Linked DNA regions of Macaca mulatta. The main gene of each other region encodes a partner of the protein of the gene in region 4 in a complex. Links are inferred from orthologs where the notes say so. Each region holds a gene or a part of one and is shown on either strand. Other genes may lie near its edges.

What was found.
Region 1: the proteins of TLE6 (region 4) and OOEP are in contact, whole or in part, in a cryo-EM structure (PDB 8H94), measured with the Mus musculus proteins. The link is inferred for Macaca mulatta from reciprocal best matches to the Homo sapiens genes TLE6 and OOEP. Residues at the interface, in NP_444484.1 of Mus musculus: Trp256, Ser258, Phe304, Thr305, Arg306, His307, Val318, Asn320, Val322, Asn323, Glu332, Ser333, Asn354, Ser355, Arg356, Leu373, Ala374, Ala375, Pro376, Ser377, Leu378; in NP_080756.1 of Mus musculus: Arg32, Pro33, Trp34, Trp35, Pro37, Gln39, Glu40, Glu67, Trp70, Met71, Gln73, Gln94, Pro95.
Region 2: TLE6 (region 4) and KHDC3L share a complex: the UniProt entries of both Homo sapiens proteins name them as parts of the subcortical maternal complex. The link is inferred for Macaca mulatta from reciprocal best matches to the Homo sapiens genes TLE6 and KHDC3L.
Region 3: the proteins of TLE6 (region 4) and YWHAG are in contact, whole or in part, in a cryo-EM structure (PDB 8XI3), measured with the Mus musculus proteins. The link is inferred for Macaca mulatta from reciprocal best matches to the Homo sapiens genes TLE6 and YWHAG. Residues at the interface, in NP_444484.1 of Mus musculus: Phe137, Leu138, Ser139, Glu140, Ser141, Asp142, Leu144, Gln145, Leu295, Arg347, Asn430, Leu447, Gln470, Met472, Asn489, Asp510, Asn511, Thr512, Met530, Pro553, Arg555; in NP_061359.2 of Mus musculus: Lys50, Arg57, Arg61, Lys125, Asp129, Arg132, Tyr133, Gly174, Leu177, Asn178, Val181, Glu185, Phe201, Asp202, Ile205, Ala206, Leu208, Asp209, Glu213, Tyr216, Lys217, Thr220, Leu221, Ile222, Met223, Gln224, Leu225, Arg227, Asp228, Asn229.

Annotation. Positions count from the first base shown.
Region 1 is NC_133409.1:112,309,008-112,313,990, forward strand, and holds OOEP (oocyte-expressed protein homolog), read left to right. Parts: upstream 1-2,375; 5' UTR 2,376-2,506; coding exon 2,507-2,696; intron 2,697-2,914; coding exon 2,915-3,094; intron 3,095-3,458; coding exon 3,459-3,538; 3' UTR 3,539-3,770; downstream 3,771-4,983. UniProt on the Homo sapiens protein: Component of the subcortical maternal complex (SCMC), a multiprotein complex that plays a key role in early embryonic development.
Region 2 is NC_133409.1:112,315,685-112,320,381, reverse strand, and holds KHDC3L (KH domain-containing protein 3), read left to right. Parts: upstream 1-2,402; coding exon 2,403-2,571; intron 2,572-2,757; coding exon 2,758-2,937; intron 2,938-3,212; coding exon 3,213-3,484; downstream 3,485-4,697. UniProt on the Homo sapiens protein: Component of the subcortical maternal complex (SCMC), a multiprotein complex that plays a key role in early embryonic development.
Region 3 is NC_133408.1:49,993,488-49,999,554, reverse strand, and holds the start of YWHAG (14-3-3 protein gamma), read right to left. Parts: upstream 3,514-6,067; 5' UTR 3,275-3,513; coding exon 3,188-3,274; exon of another isoform or gene 290-3,187; intron 1-289. UniProt on the Homo sapiens protein: Adapter protein implicated in the regulation of a large spectrum of both general and specialized signaling pathways. Binds to a large number of partners, usually by recognition of a phosphoserine or phosphothreonine motif.
Region 4 is NC_133424.1:3,768,367-3,774,262, reverse strand, and holds the start of TLE6 (transducin-like enhancer protein 6), read right to left. Parts: upstream 3,928-5,896; 5' UTR 3,543-3,927; exon of another isoform or gene 3,391-3,542; intron 2,854-3,390; exon of another isoform or gene 2,832-2,853; 5' UTR 2,797-2,831; coding exon 2,746-2,796; intron 634-2,745; coding exon 551-633; intron 1-550. UniProt on the Homo sapiens protein: Component of the subcortical maternal complex (SCMC), a multiprotein complex that plays a key role in early embryonic development.

The sequences.
Region 1 (4,983 bases), on a different chromosome or scaffold from region 4:
CGTGAGCCACAATATCTGACCTTGATTAGGTTAAGGTGTTTTTCTGTTTTTGTTTTTTGTGTTTTTTTTGAGATGGACTCTCACTCTGTCGTCCAGGCTGGAGTGTAGTGGTGCCATCTTGGCTCACTGCAACCTCTGCCTCTGGGGTTCAAGCAATTCTCCTGCCTCAGCCTCTCGAGTAGCTGGGATTGCAGGTAACCACCACACACCCGGCTTTTTTTTTTTTTCTGAGATGGAGTTTTGCTGTTGTTGCCCAGGCTGGAGTGCAATGGTGTGATCTCGGCTCACCACAACCTCCGCCTCCTGGGTTCAAGCGATTCTCCTGCCCCAGCCTCCCGAGTAGCTAGGATTATAGGCATGCGCCACTATGCCCGGTTAATTTTTTGTATTTTTAGTAGAGACTAGGTTTCTCCATGTTGGTCAGGCTGGTCTCGAACTCCTGACCTCAGGTGATCCACCCGCCTCAGTCTCCCAAAGTGCTGGGATTACAGGCGTGAGCCACTGTGTCTGGCCCACACCCATCTAATTTTTGTATTTTTAGTAGAGATGGGTTTTCTCCATGTTGGTCAGGCTGGTCTCAAACTCCTGACCTCAAGTGATCCTCCTGCCTTGGCCTCCCAAAGTGCTGGGATTATAGGCGTGAGTCACCTTGCCTGGCCAGGTTAAGGTTTTAAATGTTCATTGCATCACAGCCATAGCTAAATCTAGTTTTCCTGTAAGTATGCCCTACACATCTGATAGTCAGGTTTTCTCAGCAACCATTGAGGGTGAGAGGGGGTGGGCTCAGGGGCAGAAAACTGGAGCCTCCACACAGTCCTAGATGATCATGTGGAATCTGGAACATGCTTTCCACTATTTTGAGTTTTTTCTTCTAGGCTGGCTGTGGTGGCTCACACCTGTAATCCCAGCACTTTGGGAGGCCAAAGTGAGAGAGGACTGCTTGAGCCTAGGAGTTCAAAACCAGCCTGGCAACATAGTGGGACCCTGTCTCTACAAACAGACAGACAACAACAACAGAAGAGCTGGAAAATAGCTGGGTGTGGTGGCAGGCACCTGTGGTCTCAGCTACTCAGGAGGCTGAGACAGGAGGGTCACTTAGGCCTGGGAGGTCGAGGCTTCAGTGAACCGAGATCGTGCCACTGCATTCCAGCCCAGGCAACAGACTGAGACCTATCTCAGAAAAATAGAAAATAGTTTTAAAACAAACACATAGTTAATCGTAAGAACAAAATAGTATTTTCAGCAGATACTATCTATTCTGAAACAACTACAAAACAATATTTCTAGAAATATAGTAGAAAATGTGTAAAGGCATGCATGGGGATGATATATACACACTAGCTTCAAGATAATTTCCTCTGGAGAGGGAAAGGAAAGATGCTTGAGTAATATCTATTTTAAAAACAGAGAAGTGAGGCAAATGTGGGGAAATGTCAATATCTGTTAAACTGGGGGAAGGTACAGGGCTGTGCTATATTACTTTTTTGGATGTGTGAAACCTTTTTTTTTTTTTTTTTTTTTTTTTTGAGACGGAGTCTTGCTCTGTTGCCCAGGCTGGAGTGCAGTGGCGCGATCTCCGCTCACTGCTAGCTCCGCCGCCTCCCGGGTTTATGCCATTCTCCTGCCTCAGCCTCCCTAGAAGCTGGGACTACAGACGCCCACCACCACGCCCGGCTAATTTTTTTGTATTTTTAGTAGAGACAGGGTTTCACCGTGTTCGCCAGGATGGTCTCGATCTCCTGACCTCGTGATCCGCCCGCCTCGGCCTCCCAAAGTGCTGGGATTACAGGCGTGAGCCACCATGCCCGGCGAAACCTTTCATTATTCAAATTTTTAATTAAAATTACGAACACTGGGAAAAAATTCATTGATACTGGTTGTCTTAGGATACTGGAAATAAAGGAAAATTGTCTAACTTGCTACATGTTCTATAAGACCACCTCCGACGTTTTGTTTAAAACATGATACACTTGCTTGAATGATTTAAAAATGGTAACCATCCGGAGAGTCAGAAGATAACAGCATGGGGCAGAAGAGAGAAAACCGACACATTCAACAAGCCTGCCCTGGGTCCAATCTACCTATCTCTGGGAGGTAACGATGAAACCTTAACCTATCCAGCAAAGGCGATTCCCAGTCAGCAGAGTCGTCAATTCAAACTCACAGTGTTAATCAGCTATAAGGTGGGCAGAAGTCTTTCAGGCTAAGTATATCTTACGAGGCAAAGATGACGAAGGAGAGCGTTGGAGACCCAACAGGAGGCCAGATGAATACTAGTTCAAAGTCAAAGAGGCAATCCCGGCGACTGAGGCAGCACAGGAAGTGCCCGATGTGCCGCTAGGCCAGGGCGTCGATTGCACCAGCTCACCCCGACGCGGTGCTAGGCGCCGCCGGAAGGGGCGGAGCGGGTGGAATATGGTAAAAGAGAGTCCGAGCTTCGCGCCTGGGTCTGGAGGAGGTCCTGCGAAAGCCACCTCGAGCGCGCTCCGCGGCTGCTGGTCCCAGTATGGTCGATGACGCTGGTGCTGCTGAGTCCCAGCGGGGCAAACAGACCCCGGCCGACTCCCTGGAGCAGCTGCGTATGTTACCACTTCCGCCGCCGCAGATTCGCATCCGGCCTTGGTGGTTTCCGGTGCAGGAACTGGGAGACCCTTTGGTGTTCTACCTGGAGGCATGGCTGGCAGACGAGCTCTTTGGTGAGCGACCCCAGGTGTGCTAGTGGGCTGTCCACCTCCAGTCTGAGAGAAACTCGGCAGGGCAGCTCTCTACGGCTTCTTTCCCAGATTCGCAAGCCAAAAGTGTTGCAGTGATTGCCCACCTTCCAGCTCTTCCCTTCCCTGGCCAACGTTCCCTTAAAATTCAGCTTGTAACTTGCCACCGTGCGGCCCCTCAGAGTCTTTCCTTACTTGTTTAGGCCCGGACCGAGCCATGATTCCAGAAATGGAATGGACGAGCCAGGCCCTGATGACAGTGGACATAGTGGACTCTGGGAACCTAGTCGAAATCACCGTTTTTGGACGGCCCAGTGTACAGAATCGGGTGAAGAGCATGCTCCTGTGCCTGGCATCGTTTCACCGAGAACATCGTGCCCGAGGTGAGGGTCTTTGAGAACCTGCATGTGGAGGAAGCCACGAGTGACTGTACTGGCCTTGCTCGGTTTCCTTCCATCCTCCCTTAACCTTCTCAGAATTTCTTGGTTTCCAGACTCCAGGGGCTGCACGAAGTTTGTTGGGAGGGGATCCCGGGGTAGGACCTTGGGAAAGTCAGCGGAGATCTGATACATTCAGGCCCATCACTGCCCAAGTCAGCCTCAGCTGGGTTACGACGCTATCGCAGATCCCAGATTCGGAGCCTCCACCGCAGGTCTTTCTCTCCTCCCCAACTCCCAATCACGGAGTAGTTCGAAACAGCGAACCGTTTTCCCTGTCCATGGTTAGCATCAACTGCTTCTCTTCCAGCTGAGAAGATGAAACACCTTGAGAAGAACTTGAAGGCCCATGCATCAGACCCCCACTCTCCCCAGGATCCTGTTGCTTAAGACAACATAGTTACTGTCGGGAACATCTTAAGAACTTTCCAACTTTTTCTGCTAAAGTTGAAGAGAAGCAAGTATAGCATTCCTAAATCCCTGCATTCCTTTTTCCTGTGTCTTGATGGAATGTGGTTTATTTTGTTGCAAGAGTGAGCTTGAACTATTCTAATAAAGAAATGGCTATTTTGCCAATGGCATTAAGATCTTCACACACTTATAATAAAGCAAATTTATAAAAGATTGACTCTTATGTTTTGATATGAAGGGTGGGCAGAAGGCTGGCAGGTTGTAGTTTTGTAGGTTTTTGTTTTTGTTTTTTTGTTTTTGTTTTGTTTTTTTGTTTTGTTTTTTTCTTCCTGAATTCCCATCATTTTGAAACTCCTAATCCTTCTATGATTTTATGGTCAGAATGAGGCCCTCACCCACAGGGGGCAGATATGCAGGGGCAGATAACCTCACAAATGGTGATCTGTTTTGTTTTTACATAATTGGCTCTCAAACTTTAAAGCTTGTAAAAAATCACCTTGGGAGCTTGTTAAAACACAATTTCCTAGGCTCATTCTCCAGAGAATTCTGATTCAGTACTGTTGGGGTGGGGCTTGTAATTTGCATTTCTGATGAGCTCACAGGTACTACCAAAGCAGCTTATCTGAGGCTCTCACTTTGCAGCTGGTAATTGACCCTCCAAAGAGCACCAGCTGTGCGTTTTCCTGGAGTCGGGTGTCCGTCTGGCACAGGATGACATTCCAACAAGCAGGCCTGGGCGGTCAGCATTCATTAATGGTAGCTTTGCGATTCACCAGGGAAGAAAAGGGATCCCTGGCACCTTGGCTTGTGGATGGCGCCCTGCCTTGGAGCCGGCTGTCTCCCTTTTTCTGCAAGGCGAGGCTGCACAGGTGTCCAGCATGGGCAAGATTGTTTTTCCATTACGTGTTGTACTGAGATTACCAATCTCTGCAAAACAGCTTCTATCCTTGCTGCCCCACTTTCTGGAAGTAGAATTTTTGGGGTGAAAGGTGTCAAAAGCCCTGTGGCTTCAAGCACAATTAGGATTGGTTTGAGACTCATGGAATTTATGCATTCCTTGGCAATAAAGTGTTCTAGCCTTTTGCAAGCGTTTTAAACTCAAGTCTCTTTAATTGTACATTTTTTATTAGAGGTGATGTTGAATGTTTTCTTTGTTTCAGTTTTACATTTTTCTGTATTAATTCCTTTCTTGACTTCTTTCAACTGGTGAAGATAAGGATTTTTATTTATCTCTATAAGCTTTTGTAACAATGGTCTGTTATTACCAGCATTTTCCACCCTCTTACATTTTTTCTTTGCATGTGAAAGATTTTTATTTTATGTAGTTAAATCAATTACTGTTTCCTATGTGTTCTCCCATATCCCCACCCTCTTAAGTTTAAGAGCTCCTAATTTTCTCCCATAGAAATTTGATTAATTCTTTC
Region 2 (4,697 bases), on a different chromosome or scaffold from region 4:
AATGGTACGATCTTGGCTCACCGCAACCTCCGCCTCCCGGGTTCAAGCGATCCTCCTGCCTCAGCCTCGCGAGTAGCTGGAATTACAGGCCCCTGCCATCATGCCTGGCTAATTTTTGTATTTTTAGTAGAGATGGGGTTTCACCATGTTGGCCAGGCTAGTCTTGAACTCCTGGCCTCAGGTGATGTGCCCGCCTTGGCCTCCCAAATTGCTGGGATTACATGCGTAAGCCACTACACCCGGCTTGTTTTTTGACTTTTTAATAAAAGCCATTGTGACTGGTGTATGATGGTATATCGGTGTGATTTTAATTTGCATTCCTCTTCTGATTAGTGATACTGAGCATTTTTCATGTGTTTGTTGGCTGCCTGTATTTCTTCTTTGGAGAAACATCTCTTCATGTTCCTTGTCCAGTTTTGTTTGTTTGTTTCTTTGTTTTGTGGAGACAGAGTCTCACTCTATCCCGCAGACTGGAATACAGGCTCATTGCAACCTCTGCCTCCCACGTTCAAGCGATTCTCATGCCTCAGCTTTAGGAGTAGCTGGGATTACTGGCGCCAGTCAGCACGCCTGGCTAATTTTTGTATTTTTAGTAGAGACAGGATTTCGCCATGTTGGCCAGGCTGCTCTAGAACAGCTGGCGTGAGCCACCGCATCCGGCTTTGCCCAGTTTTTAATGGGGTTGTTTTTTCTTGTTGTTTTGCAAAGTACTTTAATTGTCTCAATTAGCAAGTAAGAATTTCCCAACTACTAAATCATTCCTATATATTAAATATATTCGACCGCCTGGGCGCGGCCTGAATATATACATTTGGTCTATTAATGTGGCAAACCTGAAGTTCTCTTTAGTGTTTCAATACTGAATAAAAATAAATTATAAATTATTATTTATCTTATAGCAACACAGTTAAAAGTTATTATTTTCACACTTTTTTTTTTGTTTTGTTTTAGTAGAGGTGGAGTTTCACCGTGTTAGCCAGGATGGTCTCGATCTCCTGACCTCATGATCCACCCGCCTCAGCCTCCCAAGGTGCTAGGATTACAGGCGTGAGCCGCCGCACCTGGCTCAGTTATTATTATTTTTTGAGACAGGGTCTCACTCTGTCACCCCGCGGGGAGTGCAGAGGCACCATCACTGCTTACTGTAGCCTCAGCCTCTCTGGGATCAGGTGATTGTCCCACCTCAGCCTTCCCAGTAGCTGGGACTACAGGGGTGTGCAACTTCGCCCAGCTAATTTTTGTATTTTTTTTGTAGCGATAGGGTTTTATCATTTTGCCCAGGCCAGAAGGATTGCTTGAGACCAGCTTGGGCAACATAATGAACCCTTGTCAGAAAGGGAAGGGGAAAAGAAAGGAAAGGAAAAGGGAAAGGAGAAAGGAAAGGAAGGATGAGACAAATATAATTGTGTTATTTAGAGAACAGAGGCATCACTGGGCATGGTGTCAGAGGCTTGTAGTCCCTGCTACTGGGGCAGCTGAAGAGGGAGGATCTCTTGAGCCCAGGAGTTGGAGGCTGCAGTGAGCTATAATCACACTACTGCCCTCTAGCCTGGGTGACAGAGATCCTGTCTCCAATTTAAAAAATTAAAAATAAAAAAGAACAGAGATGTCAAAAATTTTCAAGGAATCTCCTCTGGTGTCCAAACCACGAGAACCATCTGTGGTTAGGTGTGTTCATTGCTGCATTAATTAAAAGCGCTTTATAGTCCCACCACTGGGGAGGCTAAAGAGGGAGGATTTTTTTCAGCCCTGGAGTTCGAAGCCAACCTGGGCAACATAGCCAGACCCCATAACTTTTTTTCTATCCCCCCCTTTTTTTTTACTACGCAAATCTCACTACACAGACCCTATAGCAAAACAAAACAAAACAAAAAGGCGGGCGCTTATTCTGCTCTGTACTCAGCTGTCTCAGGCAAGTGACAGAATAATCTGAAAACCTGGTGCCAGAGGGAGAAAACGTAGTGGCCAGGGATCAGAAGCGAGTGAGGGACGTATGAAGTATTCATTCTGCAAGTATCAGTTCCTTCCTCTGGGAGAGATACTGGGCTTGTCCACGCCTTCCTGAGTCCATGGTTAAGACTCCCGCTGGGCACCAGCGGATTCCTGGTGCCCAGAGCCCGGTTCCTCCTCCCGGGTGCGCTGGGGAAAGGGCTGCTCCTGACAGAAGAGACACTGAGAGCAACGCAGGAACCGGTGCACTTGCGCTGCCTCGGAAAAAGCCGGGGCTCCTGGAGGCGGAGGCGAGGCCTGGGACCCAATGAGAAGGGCGCGGTTGGAGAGGAGGGGCTGGCCAAAAGCACTTTAAATAAGGCCCAGGCGAAACCGCAGTTCTAGTCGCCTAGCTCCAGCTTGGCCTTTGGGTTTGCTGTGGTGGTCTTGTCTCCTGCAGGACCGGGCGCAGCATGGACACTCCCAGGCGGTTTCCGACGCTCGTGCAACTGATGCAGCCAAAAGCAATGCCAGTCGAGGTGCTTGGTCACCTTCCTAAGCGGTTCTCCTGGTTCCACTCTGAGTTCCTGAAGAATCCGAAGGTAGTTCGCCTTGAGGTTTGGCTGGTGGAAAAGATCTTCGGTGAGTGGAGCAAGGAGGGGCAGCCCCTATGCGGCTTCTTTCTGCCGCCCACACCCACATCCCACTGCGTTCCAGGGCAAGCCTCCCCAGTAGCCAATGCCCTCTGGCTGTCTCCTCCTTCCACTTTCCCCTCCCAAGACCCCCGGGAGCCACCCAACCCTCACAGCCTCTCTACTACCCGCGCAGGCAGGGACCGAGAACGCATCCCGCACGTCCAGGGTATGTCCCAAATCTTGATTCATGTGAATCGGTTGGACCCTAACGGCGAGGCTGAGATCTTGGTATTTGGGAGGCCTTCTTACCAGGAGGACACAATCAAGATGATCATGAACTTGGCTGACTATCACCGACAGCTCCAGGCGAAAGGTACGGGGCTGGGAATGGGGCTACCTGGAGCAAACCCTGGCTCCGTAGGAGTGATCCTGGGGTTTCCTGGCTGCTGGGGCTGCAGTCTCGCCCTCCCAGTCTGCCCCCGGTTAGTGGGTGGGAGACGGGGCGGTTGCCATGGATCCAGAAGGCCAAAGTGAACCCGCGTTCTGGGATTCCTGGTTCCTACTCCCGCAGGCCGCTTGGGTGACTGTCCTTTTTTGGAGAGGATATAGGGACACAGCTGTGGCCTCCGCACACTGCTCTTCTTTCAGGCTCAGGAAAGGCCCTCGCCCAGGATGTCGCCACTAAGAAGGCCGAGATCCAGCTGTCTTCAACAGAAGTCCGGGAGGCCGGGACCCAGCGTTCGGTGGAGGTCCGGGAGGTCGGGACACAGGGTTCTCCGGTGGAGGTGCGGGAGACCGGGACCCAGCAGTCTCTCGAGGCTGCCAACCAGTCCGGGACCCAGCGATCCCCCGAAGCTGCCAGCAAGGCAGTGACCCAGCGGTTTCGCGAGGATACCCGGGCCCCAGTTACCAGATTATGAAGGCATCTCGGGCCCTGGAGCCAGAGCCAGTCAGGGGTTAAAGTGAAAGCCCGTACTTCGCCCAGAAGCTGCGGTTGGGAGGAGGATGATGTGGATTTTTTGTTTTACCCCTTCTGTTGAATGGTTGCAAACACAAACGAGTTCTAATAAAAAATTGCAAACTAGAAGCCGCCCCCTACTTCAGCCCCTGAAGCTGGGGTAAGGGTGGATGATGTGGATTGGTTTTTTTTACCCCTTCTGTTGAATGGCTGCAAACACAAACTTGAGTTCTAATAAATAATTGCAAAGTGGAAGCCCCCCGCTACTTTAGTCCAGGAAGCCGGGGTGGCGGGGGAGGTTGACGTGGATTGTTTTTGTTTTACACCTTCTGTTGAGTGGTTGTCAACACAAACTTGAGTTCTGATAAACAATTGCATTTCCCTGACGTCTGTATTTTGGAAGGTAGAGGGGAGGGAAAGGCGTATTCCTCCAACAGCCCAGTTCTGCCCTGCGCCGCTCTTTACCTCGAGACAGGTGGGGCTTCTGGCTCCCAGCCGCCCGGGGTCGCAATCTTCCCTGGCTGTGGTCCGCTGTGCCCCTTGTACTCCTTAACTGCGCGCATCTGGCTTTAACAGGTGAGAAGCTTCTCTGGCCCACTAGGAAACCTCTCCAAGCCCGCTGTGGTTCTACTCAAGGTGACTTGGGATGAGAAAACCGGGTCGCTTGCGGGCCAGCTGGATTTGGAAGGCCCTGCGTGTATGGCGACGCTGCCACAGAACACTTTCCCCGCTGGGGAAAATTACCTCGGGGAAGGGGGAAACGAAGAGAGCCGAGCTGCACTCTCCGGCTGCACTGTTGCCGTCTTCAGGTCTTGCTTGGGTCACCCACCTTCCAGGAAGGTCTTGGACACCAGCAAGATACAGGCACCGGCTACTCTTTCCTCAGTTACTGCGGCAGCGAGGAGCCTGAGCAGAGAACACTTTGGCTTCCCGGGTCACAGCTCTGGTCAGGGCACTGGGATGCAGGTCCCTGAGCCTGCGAATTAATCTAGAAGAATGCAAGCCAACAGCTGGGTGCTAGGATTAAACAATAGCATGCAGTAATTCTGTAATTAGGATTTAATTAGGATTTTTTTTTTTAACCAAGAATCACTGATAATTTTCATTTTATTTTGGAGATGGAGTCTCGCTCTGTCCCCCAGGCTGGAGTGCAGTGGCCCCATCTCACCTCAACA
Region 3 (6,067 bases), on a different chromosome or scaffold from region 4:
CAGAACTCCACCTCTGAAGAGTCTACAGAGGTACCATTACTCCATTAGTGATAATGGCTATTGATCTCCTGGAAAAGCTGGGCGGGGGGGGTGGCTAGGGAATGGAATATTTAAGATAGTAAGAATTTGAAAGTCTACTGATCCCACTAGGAAGATTTAGAAAAATTATGATAGCCTTTTGCCACCTTTGCCCCCACCACCCCTCACTGAATTAAACTGCTTAACCCAGTAACTTCAACAAAATTAGTAGCCCTGAACCTTTTCTCCCCCCGAGGCAAGTACCAGTAGCCTACTTAAAATATTAACTTCTCAAGAGACTATTAAAAGTCAAAGGACAAGACAATATTGTCTAATACATAGGATACATCTAGGTATTCAATCTCCTTCAATACAAGACTAAACAAGTGTCTTAAAAGACCTAACATTCCTCTTTCCTTCTTTTCAAAATACTGGATAATACAGTATTTCTGTCCTGGTTGCCCACACAGAACTATCATTCTGCACAGATTCCAATAGTGTTAGCACTAGGATAATTTCATTAAACTCAAATAAATTTTAATCCATCAACAGGATGATTTCGGCCTTAAAAGAGAGCTCACTTGAGTGGTAAGACTGGGTTCTTTCTCTGCAGTTTCCAAATTCTCCATGATGACTTTTATAAACAGGAAGACAATTTCTTAGGTAGTTGCCATTTGGGAACACCTACTACATTTCTTATTGAATCCGCACAACTTTTTCAAGTACTGTCCCATTTTATAGATGAGGAAAATGAGGGACAGGGCCTATTTCCTTAAAGTCACAGGAAACAGAGTTGAAAAAAGGTTTTTATTTTACAAACTGTTCTTTCCTCTATACTGTGAAGGAGCAGAAGCACAAATCTAGTAAAAAACAAACTTCCCAAACCTCGATTTAAAAGGTTTTGGAACTGGTTCTCATTCCCTAACAGTAACTGAAAATGACTCAGTAGAAAGTCATCATTTTTTTAAGGTTTTTATTAAAACCTGCCAAATTCATTATCTGAAATAAACACAAGTACACATCTCATCTCTGCACTATTATCGTAAACTATATTCTTGTTTAAAATTTCTACTTTCATTCCATAAAATATATTATCGTTTAAAATTTCTACTTTTATTCCATTATTGCCCAGTATTTTAAATAAGTGAGATGAATGTTTAAAAATATAAAAAAAGCATCTTATAAACTTTTGTGAGAAAGCTAGCAATAGGGTGAACAAGGCCTAGCTAGAGGTCAGGGATCTGCATGTTTAAGGGTAAATGAAATCCTTATTTTTTGGACTAATTCTTATCTGGTGGAATATGAAGTGCTCGATTCCACCTGGCTTATCGGCTAATTTCTGCATTACCTTGGATAAATGCCATTTGCACACTCCCTACCAGCCCTTAGGTGCATTGCAGCCTCTGTGTCATTGTGTGTGACATCACTTGGTTGCTATAGATATAGGTGCGAGGTCACTCGCTTTCCTGTGGAACTAGAAATACGGAAAAATTAGAAGAGTCTAAATTAAATAACACGAACTGAAGATATTTCCAATACTGATACCCATTAGAAGTGCAACTTACATCATTTGAGCATTAAAACCTTGTAAGACAGCAGCTGTGGCCATAGCAGTATTCCGAATTTCAGAACCGGTTCTCTTCTTTAATAAGACAAAAACATTTCTTTGTTAAAATACCTGGTTTAAATGTAAAGGTATCAGCATTGTCCTCTTTTGAGAACCAGTAAAGTTATTCAAGAATTGATCTGTAATATCAATAATGCTTCATTTAAAAGATGTAACATGCAAGGTACACTCCAGCATCCACTTTACAATGGAGATGCATTTGAAAAACCTTTGTTACATAAGGCAGGAAATTAAATATTAAGATAGTGGGGGCCCGAAATCATTAATTTTCTACCTTTCATTTCATAATGTTCAATACTTCCCCCTCCTCTAATATCAAACTGGTTGACAGCCCATTAGATAAATGTAGTGTTACTGACAAAATGGTGCAATACAGGGAGGAATCTGCAACCCAGACAAAATGCGACAACTGGAGATCAGTATTCTCTTTTCATCAGCATGAAGACGTACTCGCTTTAAAAAAAAAAAAAAAAAAAAAAAAAAGCCTCAGATGCATCTAACGACCAAAAATTTTTAAAAAGACTTTTTCCCCTTTAAAATAACTCCTCCCAGCCTCCACCCAGTCTAGGCTCTCTGCAATATGACAAATGCAGAATCTTCTGGAATGACTTGATACTGCCTCTCACCACCGCTTTGTTTGCACTATCAGATCAGACAGAATATTTTTTCCCCCAACTTATAGGAATTTCACAGACGCGTGCCTGTATTCAAAAAAGAAACGGCATATGTCACACGGATCGAACCAGTCAGCTACATTCACCACCTTTTATTTTACAGGCAATACCTACCCTTTTCAATACAAAAACATTAGGGAATAAAATGGAGATGACATGTTGAAAACGATCAACGAAAACGCTAGCGAGACAAACGTTCCCCCTTCCTAAAAGCCGGAGGACTTGCTTTGGGGGAATGGAGAAAGAAGAGCCTTTTGTTAAGAAAAACGTGAGCAAGGTGGTTTCGATTTTGCGCCACGGAGCTCAGGTTTTCAAGAGACCCTATACAATGTTTCTGGGAAGATTCACAGGGATCTGTCGGGACAGACAGTGGGGAAGATTTTGGGGGGGCTGGGGAGGTGGAAAACCGGGAGACCTGCTGAGTGAATGGGAAAGGCGCCGCCCAGACACCAGGGAGAGAAAGAGGAACCGCATCCATGCGGTCCCCCGCCCCCACGCCCGGGCTGGGAGGAGGGGGGAAGTGGGGCACAAAGGATGCGCACGCCTCCCCGCTCGGATCCCCTGTACCCCTAGAGCCGCTGGGACCGGAGACCCCGCTCCCAAGTCCAGCCCCGCAGGACCCCGCCCCGCCCCGCGCCCGCGCCGGGCCAGAGAGGCCGCGCCGCGGGGCCCCGGGGACGCCGAGGAGAGGCCGCGTCACAGCCCGTGTTCCCGTCGGCTCTGGGGACCCTCCCCGGCCCCCCTCAGTGAGCGAGACGGGGCGGTCACCCCACCATCGCGACAGGGCGACGAAGCCCCGGGCCTTCCACGCCAAGGACCGCGTCTTCGGAGGGGCAGGGAGCGGCGGGGGAGGGGAGGAGACACTCACGTTCTTCATGGCCGCGGCCATGTCGTCGTAGCGCTCCGCCTGCTCGGCCAGCCGGGCTTTCTGCACCAGTTGCTCGCGGTCCACCATCTTCGCGGAGCTGGGTCTGGCCGGAGAAGGAGGAGGACACTGGGGTGGCGTGAAGGGCTTGGAGGGCGCGATTGGAGCCCAAGTGCCGGAGAGGACCGACCCACGGAGCGAGCGGCTGAGGCGGCGGCTGCGCGGAGGAGGCGGCTGGAGCTGCGACCGCGGGACCGGGAGCGAGGCGGCTGCGGCTGCTGTGCGTGCCACGGACGGACAACCCCCTGCGGCCCCGCCCACGCCGCATGACGCAGGCAGGCCCCGCCCGCTCGTCCGCAAGCCCCGCCCAGGCCCCGCCCGGGCCCGGCCGCGGCTAGAGCTCCCCGCTCCCCAACTCGGCTCACTGCGCGTCTTCCGGGCACCACGTCCTTTCCCACTGCGCCCCCACTCTCCTCTTTATTCACTTCACTCCTCAGTTCCCTCACCCCAGCTTCTCCAGACGCCCCCTTATCCCTCTCCCTTCAGCCCCCCGCCCCGCCAGGCCTCCGACGCATGGGCCCTTGGGAGTTGTAGTGTAACCTGCCGTGGGCCGAGGCGTTGAGAAGACCGAGGACAAAGGGGCGGTCAAGACTACAACTCCCAGCGGAGGTAGCGCGCAGGCGCAGGAGGACTGGGGGGGTGGTTCGAATCCCGAGGCCGCTGGGGACCCCTGGCGGGGATCAGGGCTGCATCAGTCCCTGCGAGTGCTGATTCACCGCCCCGCCCCATATTCTCCGGGAAATTACGAGAGGAGGGGGCAGGGGCCTCAGTCCTAGACCCTGTTTCCGAGATCACGTAGCAGGTCGTGGTGGGGGAAGGATAGGAGGCGCGTCCTTTGTAGATCCAGACTCTCAGTGTGGTGCCTGCCCGCGGGATGGCTGAATTAAGGGGCCAGACTCGGGGGACTGTCACCTCCTCCCCCTACGAGCTTCCACTAACCCCCCACCCCACCTTGAGGCTCTTGGGCCTGACTAGGTGAAAACAAGGACGAACGACAAATACCGGCTGGCCACACTGGTTGGTTTCCAGAAAGGATGCAGCTGCCTGCTGGCTGACCCTGGAGAACCCCTTCTTCCTCTCCAGGGTGGAGTGCTAAAGATTCAGTTCAGCTACCAGGAGCCTACTCCACGCCTTAACGGGCTGTGTCTGGGGCTTAGTTGTCCAGCCCTTCTCTCCCCTCCTAGGCATACGTACCTACTGAGGTCACGCTGATATATTCTCGTTCATATTATTCCACGTAGCTTAAAGATAGACTAGGTTTTTTTGCTTTGTTTTGTTTTTTGTAGAGACGAGGGTCTAGCTTTGTTGCCCATGCTAGTCTCGAACTCCTGGGCTCGAGCGATCCTCACGCCTCGGCCTCCCAAAGTGCTGGGATTACAGATGTGAGCCACCATGCCTGCAGGCCCCATAGTTTTGACTACACATTTTATTTACTTTATGTATTCAACAATTATCTGTGAGAAGCTACTGTGTTCCAAGCCCTATTCTAAGCCACAAGGTACAGTAGTGAACAAAACAGAAAAAAATCCCTTCCCAAGAAAATAGGCAAGATATGTACAGTATGCTAGAAGTCAATAAGACGTGAGCTTTGAGGTTGCAGTGAGCTGAGATCGTGCCACTGCACTCCAGCATGGGTGACAGAGCGAGACTCCATCTCAAAAAAAAAAAAAAAAAAAGGAAATGAGCTTTGGCTGGTCTTGGTGACTCACACCTGTAATCCCAACACTTTGGGAGGCCGAAGCGGGTGGATCATCTGAGGTCGGGAGTTCAAGACCAGCCTGGCTAATGTGGCGAAACCCCATCTCTACTAAAAATACAAAAATTAGCTGAGCGCCTGTAATCCCAGCTACTGGGGAGGCTGAGGCAGGAGAATCGCTTGAACCTGGGAGACGGGGGTTGCAGTGAGCTGAGATGGTGCCATTGCACTCCAGCCTGGGCAACAACAGCGAAAATCCATATTAAAAAAAAAAAAAGTGAGCTTTGCAGACGCTGCTGCCGCCAGGAGTACTCTACTGCTGGCCATGGTCAATCTCATCGTGTTCTTTGACATTATGGTCAAGCCCTCGGGCTGCGTCTCCTTCAAGGTTAGGGGCCTGGAAACCAAGAAGCCAAGAAGTGACCTCTGCAAACCATAAAGCCATGTTAACATATCAGAGCTGTTAGCAGACAAGGTTCTAAAGACAGCAGAAAACTTTCATTTTCTGAGCACTGGAGAGAAAGGATTTGATTATAAGGGTTGCTAGTACTCTCTTTCTTTTTTTTTTTTTTTTTTTTTTTTGAGATGAAGTCTCGCTCTGTAGCCCAGGCTGGAGTGTAGTGGAGCAATCTCGGCTCACTGCAACCTCTGCCTCCCGGGTTCAAGCGATTCTCCTGCCTCAGCCTCTTGAGTACCTGGGATTACAGGCATGCGCCACCACGCCCAGCTGATTTTTGTATTTTTAGTAGAGATGGTGTTTCACCATATTAGTCAGGCTGGTGTCGAACTCCTGACCTCATGATCCCTCCGCCTCAGCCTCCCAAAGTGCTGGGATTACAGGCGTGAGCCACCGCGCCCAGCAAGGGTTCCTACTTACACAGAATTATTCCAGGGATTATGTGTCAGGGTGGTGACTTCACACACCATAATGGCACTGGTGGCAAGTCCATCTATGGGGAGAAATTCGATGACGAAAACCTCATCCTGAAGCATACAGATCTTGGCATCTTGCCCATGGCAGATGCTGGACCCAACACAAACGCTTCCCAGTTTTTCATCTGCACTGCCAAGACTGAGTGGTTAGATGGCAAGCATGGTGGTCTTCGGCAAGGCGAAAGCAAGCATGA
Region 4 (5,896 bases):
ATATATATATATATACATATTTTTTTTTTTTGAGACGGAGTCTCACTCTGTAGCCTAGGCTAGAGTGCAGCGGTGTGAACACGGCTCACTGCAATCCTCCGCCTCCTGGGTTCAAGAGATTCTCCTGCCTCAGCTGGGATTACAGGCACCCACCACCACGCCTGGCTAATTTTTGTATTTTTTGTAGAGACGGGCTTTTACCATGTTGGCCAGGTTGATCTCGAGCTCCTGACCTCAAGGGATCCGCCCGCCTCTGCCTCCCAAAGTACTGGGATTGCAGGTGCGAGCCACCACACCCAGCCATTGCAGTATTTTTCAACAATAAAATTGAATGCCAACAAATCCATGTCGCACAGGAAAATCAACATATGAAACAAAAGCTGGGATGGGTATTGCTGGGTTCTCCATGCTGGGTATCGACATGGCTTCCTGTTCCTGAGCCTGTCTCTTGGGCCAGCAGTTTCTAGACCACTCACTAGGACCCCAAGGAGAGAGGCCAGGTGGGACCCCTTCCCAGCGTGGGACTGCCAGCCCCTGGAATTGCTCTCACCTGGGGAATTGCTTGAGCCGATTTAGAATGCCTTGATAATTCAGTGGTGGAGAGCTCTCAGAGTTCGAGATCCCAGGACGGGGCTGGAAAGGTCAAAGCAAGGTTACATAAAACTTACAATGCCCTGGCCGGGCACGGGTGGCTCACGCCTGTAATCCCAGCACTTTGGGAGGCTGAGACGGGCGGATCACGAGGTCAGGAGATTGAGACCATCCTGGCTAACACGGTGAAACCCTGTCTCTACTAAAAAAAAAAAAATACAAAAAACTAGCCGGGCGAGGTGGCGGGTGCCTGTAGTCCCAGCTTCTCGGGAGGCTGAGGCAGGAGAATGGCGTGAAACCGGGAGGCGGAGCTTGCAGTGAGCCCAGATTGCGCCACTGCACTCCAGCCTGGGTGACAGAGCGAGACTATCTCAAAACAAAAAAACAAAAAAAAAAACTTACAATGCCCCAAACACTCAAGACCCCAGGTCTCCATCTCAACCAGAGTATAGGTATTAGGTTGATGCAAAAGTAATTGTGGTTTTTGTTTTTGAAACAAGTCTTGCTGTCACCTAGGCTAGAGTGCAGGGGCACAATCTCAGCTCACTGCAACATCTGCCTCCCAGGTTCAAGTGATTGCCTGCCTCAGCCTTCCTAGTAGCTGGGATTACAGACGCCTCCCACCATGCCTGGCTAATTTTTATATTTTTAGTAGAGCTGGGGTTTCACCATCTTGGCCAGGCTGATCTCAACCTCCTGACCTCGTGATCCACCCGCCTCGGCCTCCCAAAGTGCTAGAATTACAGGCATGAACCACTGCGCCCGTCCTCTTATTTCAGTACCTAAAAGAGCATCTTCCATTTTGCACTTTGGCCTAAAGTCTAAAATATTCACCACATTCTTGTGATGAAAATAGAAGCACAAAATATTTTTAAAAATAAAAGGCCAGGCAAGGTGGTTCACGCCTGTAATCCCAGCACTTTGGGAGGCCGAGGTGAGCAGATCACCTGAGGTCAGGAGTTTGAGACAAGTCGAGGCAACTCAGCAAAACCCTGTCTCTACTAAAAATACAAAAATTAGCCGGGCATGGTGGCACACACCTGTAATCCCAGCTACTCGGGAGGTTGAGGCAGGAGAATCATTTGAACCTGGGAGGTGGAGGTTGCAGTGAGCCAAGATCGTGCCACTGCACTCCAGCCTGGGCGACAAGAGCAAGACTCAATAAAATAAAGTCTCTTGGCCAGGTGCAGTGGCTCACGCCTGTAATCCCAGCACTTTGGGAGGCTGAGGCGGGCAGATCACGAGGTCAGGAGCTCAAGACCAGACTGGCCAACATGGTGAAACCCCATCTCTACTAAAAATACAAAAAAAAAAATTGGTGGTCATGGTGGCAGGTGCCTGTAGTCCCAGCGACTCGGGAGGTGAGGCAGGAAAATCACTTGAACCCGGGAGGCGGAGGTTGCGGTGAGCCGAGATTGCGCCACTGCACTCCAGCCGAGGTGACAGTGTGAGACTCCGTCTCAAAAACAATAAAGTCATAAAGTCTCAAAACAAAATATTCCTCATCTGACCCCTTTACAAAAAAGAGAGTTTGCTCAGCCCTGAGAGCCTAAATTTACAAATGGTCATCTCTGGGACATAAAGTACAGGGAGCCCGGATTGCTTGTAAAATATTAACCAAATACGTGCTGTGTTCCTGTGTTTTTTATCACGTATGTGATTAGAAGCTACATTTTTTTTAAGGATGGGATCTCACTTTGTCACCAAGGCTGAAGTGCAATGCCTCAAACTCCTTGGGCTCAAGCAAAGCCTCTGCCTCAGGCTCCTGGGTAGCTACAACTACAGGCAGGCCCATGTCACTAGGCCCAGCTGATTCTTTTAATTTTTTTTTGTAGAGATGGGGGTCTCATTACGTTGTCCAGGCTGGTCTCAAACTCCTGGGCTCAAATGATCCTCCTACCTCGGCCTCCCAAAATGTTGAGATCACAGTTGTGAGCCACTGTGTCCAGCCTACACTTAATTTAAAAAAAAAAAAAAAAAACGGCTCCTTGGCACCTGTCTTGAATGTAGCAGTGACCGGTATTGTCTTCAGCTGTGAGGCCTGGATGAGGCCAGCCCAGGTCATAGGTGGATACAGGATGAGAAAGGGGCAGAACCTCATTGGGCTGACCTAGGTTTCCCTTGAGGGCTGATCCCACCCCATGCCCTCCTCACCGAAGTGCCTTTCGGGGGGCCCTTGGGGCTAGGCTGGTCCCTAGAGGTCATCTTCAGGCAGTAGCCTCCAGGACTTTAGCCAAAGTCTAAAACAAGGAGACAGCAGGTCTTGAAGGACAGAAAATAAGGCAGTGTCAGGGAGGGAGCCACCCCTTACCCCACCTGCACCTCCCGGTTTGGTAAGTCTCCAGGGCCCCAGTCCTGCGGTTCCCCCATGCGTTCCCTAGGTCCCGTCCTCACTTATCAATGCCTCCAGCTGCCCAGATTCGTGGGGCCGGGGACCCAGAAAGAACTGAACCCTGCCTCCCAGGCCTCACCCTAGGAGGTTGGGGTGGATGGTGCACATACACTCCCTGCTGGGGGAGCCCAGGGAAGGTCACCAAAGCTCAACCTTAGTTTTCAGACAATTTCCTAAAGTGCAGGGATATCACTAGAAAGGGGTTTTGAAGGATGAATAGGAGTTAGCCAGGTGCATTAGGCGGAATTCATCGGACAGAAGAAACGACCTCCCTCCACCTGCATCCCAGCTGCAGCACCAAGCTCCTTCCTTGCCTCAGTCCTGCCCTTCCACACCCCTGCAGCCCCTTCCCCGGCCCGGGAATCTTGGAGTCCCCCCAACCCCCAGGAAAACGCCTGGCAACTCACGTCCCTCACAGGGCGGAAGCTGCCGAGGTCAGCCAAGTTCAGGCCAAGAGGAAACTCCTCCTTCCCCCACCGGGGGCCATTTGACCCATCGGGCCCCGCCTTGTCCCGCCCTGTCCCTGCCCCGTCCCGCCCAGGCCCCACCCAGCCGCCACCTGGACCGCGAAGCGGATCAATGAAGGCGCAGTAGCTGCACGTGGGTTCGGGCTCGGGGTGGGCAGGCATCTGGCGGCGCTGGCCAATCGTGAGGCCGTTTGCGCACGTGGGTCGCGTACGCCCTCCCTGATTGGCCGGCTCTCCCCGGCTGCCGGCCAAGCTGTCACTCAGCGAGCCGGGAGCCTCCGCTTAACCCTTTCGGTCCCGCTGCCGGGAAGGGCGGAATTGCAGAGCTCTAGGCAATTTGGGGTCCCAGCGGGGGCGGGGATATTTAGGAGGGCGTGGGGCTTGAGGCTCGGAGGGTGGAACTTGGGGAAGGATAGGTGGCGAGTAGTTGCATTGTTTTACTCATTTTTAGCCTTGTCCGGAAGTGGCTTACGGCTGGAAGTGAGGAGTGGGAGGTGGGTGGGGTCAATCTTTAGCGCTCTCACCCCAATGCTTATATACGGGCTAATTATATTTTCCTCAATATTAAATAACGTGCAATGCAAACGAAGCTTCTAGTTCTCTTTCGGGAGCCAACTTACTGGGTTCCCTTGATGGTCCTAGCCCCGGGCTATGCATTTATCATATTGGAGCTCCCAGCCCAGTGACAAAGGCTCTGAGAGCAGAAAGCCCGACAGCAGAGGCCCTGAGGCTGGTACAGTACTGCCAGATCCAAGCCCGGGGTGGGAGAGAGTGGTGGGTATTCCAGATGGAGGGAATAGTGGAAGCTCTCAGGCAGAGCTGGGCTGGTTACAGGAGAAGACCGGGAGGCTAACGGGGCTGCGTGCACTCCGAACACGCCTGGGATGATTTCAGAGAGGTAAGTGGGTTGCTACAGAGCGAGAGAAACCTGCTATGTGGGGTGGTGGGGATAGGGGTAAGGGGATTCTGGAGTTCTGTTTCGGCCTATTCAAAATATGAAGGCAAAGCACCATGGCTCACACCTGTGATCCCAGCACTTTCGAAGGCTGAGGTGGGAGGATTGCTTGAGGCCAGGAGTTGGAGACCACTCTGGGCAATACAGTGACACCCCGTCTCTACAAAAAAATTTTAAAATTAGCCAAGTGTGGTGGTCATGCACCTGTAGTCTCAGCTACTGCGGAGGCTGAGGCAGGAGGATTGCGTAAGCCCACACTCCAGTCTGAGCAACAGAGCAAGACCCCATCTCAAAAAAAAACCCCAACATACATATTACATATACAATACATATATAAAATATATATTATATATAAAGTATATGTTATACATATATAAAGTATATATAATATATAAATATATGTTATACATATATAAAGCATATATAACATATAAAGTATAACATATAAAGTATATATAATATATATAAAGTATATATATTATATATATAAAATATATATATGTAGTGAGAGCCCAAGATTCTTTCTGTTTGGCCCAGAACCTGGTACTGGCATTAGCGGTTCGCTCTGCCAGGGACAGTCTCCCTCAGACAGCCACTGGCTGGCTCCTTACTCCCTCAGATCCCTACTTAGAAATCACCACATTGGGCCGGGCGCAGTGGTGCATGCCTGTAATCCCATCACTTTGGGAGGCAGAGGTGGGTGGATCACCTGAGGTCCAGAGTTCGAGACCAGCTTGGCCAACATGGTGAAACCCTATATCTACTAAAATACAAAAATTAGCCGGGTATGGTGGTAGGCACCTGTAGTCCCAGCTACTCAGGAGGCTGAGGCAGAAGAATCACTTGAATCTGGGAGACAGACGTTGCAGTGAGTTGAGATCGTGCCACTGCACTCCAGCCAGGGTGACAGAGCAAGAGTCTATCTCAGGAAAAAAAAAAAAAAATCACATCAGGCCAGGCGTGGTGGCTCACGCCTGTAATCCCAGCACTTTTAGAGGCTGAGGCGGGAGGATCACTTGAGGTCAGGAGTTCCAGACCAGCCTGGCCAACATGCTGAAACCCTGTCTCTACTAAAAATACAAAAATGAGCTGGGCATGGTGACGCACACCTGTAATCCCAGCTACTTGAACCTGGGAGGCGAAGGTTGCAGTGAGCCGAGATGGCGCCATTGCACTCCAGCCTGGGCGACACAGTACTCTGCCCCAAAAGAAAAAAAAGAGTTCGTGACCAACCTGGCCAACATGGCAAAACCCTGTCTCTATTAAAAATACAAAAATCAGCTGGGTGTGGTGGCAGACGCCTGTAATCCCAGCTACTTGGGATGCTGACGCAGGAGAATCGCTTGAACCGGGAGGTAGAGGTTACAGTGAGCCAGGATCGTGCCATTGCACTCCAGCCTGGGCCACAAGAGTGAAACTCTGTTTCAAAAAAAAAGAAGGAAGGGAGGAAGGGAGGAAGGAAGGAAGGAATCATCTCATCGAAGAGACCAC